Linked DNA regions of Oryctolagus cuniculus. The protein of the gene in region 2 interacts with the protein of the main gene of each other region in a biochemical or structural test. Links are inferred from orthologs where the notes say so. Each region holds a gene or a part of one and is shown on either strand. Other genes may lie near its edges.

Evidence for each region.
Region 1: the proteins of PIAS2 (region 2) and SUMO3 form a complex in vitro, tested with the Homo sapiens proteins (2 studies listed by BioGRID, with this or other methods). The link is inferred for Oryctolagus cuniculus from reciprocal best matches to the Homo sapiens genes PIAS2 and SUMO3.

The regions. Positions count from the first base shown.
Region 1 is NC_091435.1:1,764,886-1,768,698, reverse strand, and holds part of SUMO3 (small ubiquitin-related modifier 3), read right to left. Parts: intron 3,403-3,813; coding exon 3,331-3,402; intron 559-3,330; coding exon 445-558; 3' UTR 1-444. UniProt on the Homo sapiens protein: Ubiquitin-like protein which can be covalently attached to target lysines either as a monomer or as a lysine-linked polymer. Does not seem to be involved in protein degradation and may function as an antagonist of ubiquitin in the degradation process.
Region 2 is NC_091441.1:30,720,374-30,724,186, reverse strand, and holds part of PIAS2 (E3 SUMO-protein ligase PIAS2), read right to left. Parts: intron 2,544-3,813; coding exon 2,410-2,543; intron 344-2,409; coding exon 172-343; intron 1-171. UniProt on the Homo sapiens protein: Functions as an E3-type small ubiquitin-like modifier (SUMO) ligase, stabilizing the interaction between UBE2I and the substrate, and as a SUMO-tethering factor.

The DNA.
Region 1 (3,813 bases), on a different chromosome or scaffold from region 2:
GGCCATTTTACTAAAGGACTTGTTTATGTTTTTACTTTTTAAGAAGCGTTCCAGATTTTCCCTTCCACGTTACCAAACGTGACCAGGCTTCGATGTCCAGTATCGAGCATTTCAACAACCCGTGCCTGCAAGTGTAAGTGAGGGCCTGTCCTGCACCCCCCCAGCCGCGGGTTACGGGCAGGATCAGGCGAGCCTGGCACGGGGAGCCAAGGCCCATCCTCGGGAACCCACACTCGGGCCACAGGTCTGGGGAGAGAGGAGGGGACAAATACAAATGAAAAACCCCAAAAACTCATTTTACCTAAACAAAGATAACAATTCTGATTGGCCCCATTTCAGTCGTGGATTCGTCCCTGCAGAGAGTTTGAGCCAGAGAGGAAGTCACTTCGCTGCATGTCCTTGAGTTTCTGCAGACTCCTTTGTGACTGCACGGTCTCGGGTTCACTATTCAACAGCAAACGCAAGGATGGAAAACAGGCCACGCCCCGGCAAGCGGCTGCTCACGCCGCCCGTCTGCTGCTGGAACACGTCGATGGTGTCCTCGTCATCCATCTCCAGCTGTCAGTCACGGTGCCAGGTACACAGAGAGAAGCCCGTTAGTTTTCCCTGTCCTGGTGTCTCCGAACCTCATCCCCACTGCGAGGCCCCGCCCCTCTGTCCCGTGCAAGGTGAGGTGCCATGGCGGAGCTGCAGAGTTCACCAAATTCTCAAAGCTAAGCACTGGGGCATTCAAACACACAGTAGAACGTCTAATTCTTCCTGGGAATCGCACACAGATCCCCACCGAGAACGCTCCGTGACTGGCCCATGGGCGCCGTGCACCTCAGAGCGAGCCCAGCGCTAACAAGAACGGCCATGGGCAACGGCTGTGCTGAGGACAGGGTCCCAGGCTGGCGCCGCCCCCCCCCCCCCCCCCGGCACCTGAGAGGCCAGGGCACAGGGTCACCAATACTTCCTGCTGGCTTCTCTTCTGACCCCTGGGCCCAAAACTTCTATGCTGGTCTTCGTTCCCTGAACCAAAGGGAGCTCCTGCCAGGGTCACACAGGGAGAGGAGGCTGGCAGCAGCGGCACTGCGCGGGGACGCGGGGCCTCTGCTCCTGCCTGCCCCTCCTGGCTCAGGCCCTGCTGGGTTCTAGCAGCCTAGGACAGCTGGGAGCCCCTGCGCGGCACAGCCCATCTCGACAGTGTAGGGTTTCAAGTGGCCCGAAATTAAACGATTATTGCAAACAAGTGTTCAGTATTTATTAAATGCTGAATACACTTTGCAACAGTATTTTCACTTGAGGCATCCCCATGGATGCTCACAGCATGGCAGGCAGGAGATCGGGTATGATGGCCCTTCTACAGACAGAACAGACAGACTCGAGATCCAGCTGCTCCTGACCCCAAGGTTATCGACTGACAAGTGACAGGAGCTGCACCTGAACTTCACAACTCCTAGAGGCAGGCATCTGCTGAGCAGTTAAGACACTGCTTGGGGCCGGCGCCGCGGCTCGCTAGGCTCATCCTCCGCCTTGCGGCGCCGGCACCCCGGGTTCTAGTCCCGGTCAGGGCACCGGATTCTGTCCTGGTTGCCCCTCTTCCAGGCCAGCTCTCTGCTGTGGCCCGGGAGTGCAGTGGAGGATGGCCCAAGTGCTTGGGCCCTGCACCCCATGGGAGACCAGGAGGAAGCACCTGGCTCCTGGTCGTGCAGCACCGGCCGTAGCAGCCATTTGGGGGGTGAACCAACGGAAGGAAGACCTTTCTCTCTCACTGTCTGTAACTCTGTCAAATAAATAAATAAAATTTTTTTAAAAAGACACTGCTTGGAACGCCCACATGAGGCAGTGCCCGGGTTTGAGGCCTGGTTTCTGCATTTCCAATCCCAGCACCCTATTAAAGCACACCCCGTGAGGCCAGGTGATGGCTCAAGCAGCTAGGCCCCTGCCATCCGCACGGGAGACCCAGACGGAGTACTGGGCTCTCGGCGTCGGACTGGCCCAGCCCCAGCTGTTGTAGGTATTTAGAAAGTGAACCAGCAGATAGCATATCTATCTTTGCCTCTCTCTCTCTCTCTCTCAAATAAATAAATAAATTTAAAAACAACAAAACTTCTACTTATAAGCCCAAAGTTCTTTTTTACTACAATGTGATACCCTATAACATGATGTATCGAGTCACATATATGTTTTCTTAAATAAAAAAGCTTTCTGAGGGTAAGATGTTTGAGGGTTTTCAGAAACTTCAGGGGAAAATGGAGTTAAAAGATAACTTTATGTTGCGGGTTAAGCCGCAAACTGCAACACGGGCCTCCCACATGGGCGCGTCTGAGGCCTACCGATCTGCTCCCTGCTAATGCACCTGGGAAGGCAGCTGCAGATGGGCCAAATGCTTGGGCCCCTGCACTCAAGTGGGAGACCTGGAGGGAGTTCCAGGCTCTGGCTTTGGCCTGGCCCAGCCCTGACCATCGCGGCCATATGGAGAGTCAACCAGCAGATGGAAGATCCATCGATATCTCTGTCTCAGCTCTATCACTCTTTCAAATGAAAGAAATCTTCTAAGAAGTAGTGAATTGCAGCCTGGCTGCAGCCTGGCGCTGTGGCGGGGAAGGTTAACCCTCCGCCTGTAATGCTGGCACCCACGTGGGCGCCGCTGCATGTCCCAGCGGCTCCACCTCCCGTCCAGTTCTCGCTTAGGTGCCGGGAAAGCACTGGAAGATGCCAAGTGTTCCGGCCGCTGCCACCCACGTGCGAGACCCAGAAGAAGGTCTTGGCTTTGGCCTGACCCAGCGTCGGCCACGGTAGCCACCTGGGAGATGAACGAGCAGGTGAAAGATCTCGGCCTCTTCCTTTCTCTCTAACTTTTTCAAAGTAAGTACATCAATCTTTAAAGTTGATTCTGGTGCAAAAGCGATGGCCAGTTCCACGCACAGGTGTCTCAGAACTCACTTCCCAGAGCTCTGAAGGGCCCTCGTATTCGCGTGTTCTCACAACACGTCAGCAAGACGCGAAAGCAGGCGGTCGCGTGGCTACGCACGGGTGAAACCGGACGCCAGGCGTCCCAGCAACCAGCGGGAAGGGCGGGCTCTGACCGCTCTGCACAGGGGCTGCGTGCCGGGCGCCGCCTGTGCTGACCGCCCTGGGCCCAGCCGTCAGGCCATCTCCAAACAGAAGGACTATGTCTGGCAAAGAATGGGCTTCAGTTGAAAACTTAACGTCAACTTTTTAAAGTTTAGAACTCTGATAAGAAAAAAGTGAGCTATGCCATGAGAGGACCAAGCAGTGATTTTCAAGTCTGTACTCCAAACGGCAGCGACGCCCACCATGCAGACCAGAGCCACGGGCGCATACCTGCGCAGGTGTGTCCGCTTCGTTAATTGGTTGCCCATCGAACCTGAATCTAATCTGCCTCATTGACAAGCCCTGAAAAGAAAAAGCAATTTCCATTAAATATTTCCAGATAACACAGCTTAATTCAGAAAAGTAAACACATCAAAATAGCAGAATCAGAATCCACAGACTGCCGTGGGGCCTGCAGTCGCCGCGCCGCCCGTGCCCCTCCACACTCACTTCCCCCTGCCCTCCCCGCCCCACCCACCCCTTCTGCCAGAAGCCGAGCAAACTCCACACTGCTGGCGCCACCGCGCCCTGGGAGGACACAGGGCAGGCGGCAGGAGGGAGGCCCGGGACAGCAGCGAGCAGACGCAGGGCCCCTGGGTGGGAGGCACCAGGGTCTGCAGGGGCCTGCAGCGGATCTGAGTGACTGCTGGGAGGTTCATGTCCAGACCCCCAAGTCAGCCAGCATGACATCCCGTGTGTGGCGAGGCGAGGCCG
Region 2 (3,813 bases):
ATTTGCTTTAATATAAATAATCTGCTTACTTGAATATATTACCAGTGAACAATGGCAAATTACAACAGCCTCCTTCAGCTACTCAGCTTCTCTAAGAGACATGCACAAACTCACCCCAGGAACCATTAGTTGCAAGTGCAATGAACAATGGAGAACTATAAATTAACAAACCCTTTGGTTGGGCTGCTTTGTGTTTCTGACATAAAGATGCATTTCCTTTTGGCAGGAGGGTCTTCCTCTTCATCAGAAGAACTTTCTATTGTTAGGTCAATAACATCCACTTTCTTTTTGCTTGCCTCACTGGCTACAGTCACTGCACAAGGCTTACTGAGGACACCTAAACCTGCACGTAGTAAAAGGAAGGAAAAACAACATTAAAGGTGTGACACCAACTCAGTTGTTAACTCAGTCTTAACTGTCAAGTACACCCAGGACAATGCATAGCAGTGAAGCCACACACTCTGCCCCTAACTCCAGGGATATCAATAAAAGGACTGCTTCCCTGGGGAGACAGGATGAGTGCCGCGCCTTGACAGCACACTTGAAATTGCGTGCGCAGATCCTGCTGCACCATCAGCTTCCCAGGTGAGCAGTCATTTCAGACAGAAACCTGCAGTTAAGAGACTTGGTCTCAGGCCACAGGACAAGAGCATGTGGTTTTACCAGATGTGTATCCTCATAGACATTAAGTCAGAATTAGATATTTCCATTCTTGCAATCATGCTAATATTAAAGTCTGTATTAGACTACCCATCAAAACTTGATAAAAAAATCAATTTTACCTTGATCAGCTGAAAATCCCCACAAACTTCCAATTTAGGTTATTCAGACATTTAAAGCTTCTTGAAATTAATTATCTACTAATCATTTAGATTTTTTTCTCAGCATTGCCTCACACAACAGATGTCCACTCTTTTCATACAAAGGTATATTATTCCCTATAATCTACTTAGTTGAAAATAAATGCTGGCAGATACTGAAAAACCAGCAGCAACCAATCAAATTGCTCCCCATTTTTCTCAAAGATTAGAGAAACCTTGGTCATTATACTTAGGTTCAGTGTCAATTACAAGGGAGTAATTAATATTGGTATATGTCTTTATTTTTTTCCCCATTTCTCCTTACCCTGAAAAATTTAATCATTACTTTTTTTCTTAGAACTTCAAATACAGTCAGAATAAAATTCAAATGCAGTGAATAGACTGCATTAGATAAAAAGGAACTTTAATTACACCTACAAGTTTCAGTTACTCAAGCTGTATTTAGTTTCCCTACTCAGTGTAGGCAGGTGCAGGGAGCTCAGTGGAAGGCTAAATATAAATATTCTGGGGGCCAGTGCTGTGGCATGGTTGGTAAAGCCGTCACCTGCAGCGCCAGCACCCCATATGGGCACCGGTTCTGCTCCACTTCCAACCCAGCTCTCTGTTATGGCCTGGGAAAGCAGTGGAGGATGACTGAAGTCCTTAGGCCCTTGCACCTGCATAGAAGACCTGGAAGAAGCTCCTGGTTTCTAGCTTTGGATCAGCCCAGTTCCAGCCATTATGGTCACTTGGGGATTGAACCAGCAGATGGAAAACCTCTCTCTCTCTTTCTCTGTCTGCCTCTGCCTCTCAAATAAATAAATCTTTAAAAAGTATAAATATTCTAGGTAAACAAACGATGACCAGATTCCTTTCCACAAAGAAATGGAAGAAAAACAATTTGTTCACCTGTGACCACTGCCCCTCCCTGTTCATTGACCAAACATGCAACTTCTCTAACCACAAACAATTTAAAAAAACGAAAATGTCACTTATCATGTTTTATTTTGTAATATACTTCATTTGGTAAAATGATTTAGATGACTGCTTCATTCATTTTACATATTACAAGTATATTATAAAAGGCTGTAGGATGGTAGAACACTTAGCATGTATCTGGGGAAGGTGTCTGGCCTAATGTTGAAGATACTGCTTGGGTCACCCGTACCCCATATCAGACACAGTGCCTACGCTGGGGTCTTGATTACACTCCCAAATCGTTTCCTGCTAATGCGCATTCTGGAAGACATCAAAGGATGGCTCAAGCTGTTGGGTCTTTGTCACCCAACTGGACCCCTGAACTAAGTTCCCCGTTCCTGGTTTCAACCCTGCCTGAGTCTCTGAGGTCATTTCGGGGAGTGAACCACAGGATGGGAGCTCTCTCTCTGTTCCTCTGCCTCCTAAATAAAAAGAAATTAATACATTTTATGACATTTCTTAAGGAAAAAATAAAAATCACTAAGGAGGACGGCAACGTATACTTGACAGATGATCCAAAGCTGAAGCAAGCAAACTGAACTCTACTGATAGTGCTAGTGGTCAAGGTTAACAATAAACATAATGCTGCCCAATCTCATTGCTTTGCTTTCCACTGCCATTCTGCACATACTTTCTATTTTTGTACACGGTTGGCTGGATACTTTCATAGCTTCTTTCTTCGGTCTCATTGGACACCAAGAGCCATCTTCTTGGAATTTGATTTCATCCACATCAGAACAATCATTGAGAATTTCCATAAAAAGCCTATAAACCAATTAAGATGTACATACGTGCAATCAATATCTTTGTTCAAAAGCAAAATAAGAAAGCAATACATGGTGGAGGCAAAAACAATGATACCTTTTTTTTTTTGATATTTCAGTATTTCACATCTTATAAGTAGTATACCCCAACCCTGCTTCCCACCTAAGGGCAGTACAGAGTTAAGTGGCTTACAGAGATCACTCAAAATTTCAGTAGCCGAACAGAAACAAATAAAAAGAAAATAGCTATTTCTTTCTTGGAACAGATCAATAAAAGACAAGCTGCTGGTCAGACTTACTTAAATCCACTTGAAAAGCAATAGATAAGCTGAAGAGCCCCATGTCTATCAAAGATACTGCTTCTGTAGTTAAAAAATCTAACTGTAAAGAAAATTCCATGCCTCATATCTTGACCAAGGAACTTTACCAAATGTTCAAGGAGAAATATTACTACTTTCCAACTCATTTTATAAGGACAGCATTATTACAGATGAAAACCAGACAAGGACATTATAAGAAAGCTTTGCAAAACAAAAAAAGGTAACACCACAATCAGGTGGGATTTATTCTTAGAATGCAAGGTTAGTTTAATATCTGAAACTCCATCATCACAGTACATCAAAATAATGGATCAGGAAGTGCAAAAAGGCAAGACAAAGACATCAATTAGAAAATCCTATAAGAGCAATGTACAAAACTCAATTATAGTTCTATTTACTAACAACCAGATATTTAAAAAAACACATAATAATGTAACACTTAGCGATAAATTTGACAAAAGACCCACAAAATACACTGAAAACTATAAAACATTATCAAGACTTGATTAAATAAATATAACATGTTCATGGATCAGGAGACTCAACACTGAGTCTACAGAGTCAACACAATACAAATCAAAATGCCAGCAATTACTTTTTCTGACAAACTGAATTTTTTTCCCCAAGTTTATTTATCTGAAAGGAAGAGAGACAGGCAGAAACAAGACAGACAGGCAAGCTGCGAGAGATCTTCCAACTACTGTTTTACTTCCCAAATGCCCACACCAGCTGGGGCTGGGTCAGGCTGAGGCCAGCAATCTTCAGCTCCACCCAAGTCTTTCACATGAGTGGCAGGGACCTAAGTACCCGAGACATCACCTGCTGCCTACCACGGGTGTGCATTAGCAGAAAACTAGTATTGAAGTGGTGCAGGGACTCAAACTCCAGCACTCCAATATGAGATAGGCATCTTAAGTGCTGTGGCAAAAGATAACCCTGGCAAACTGATTC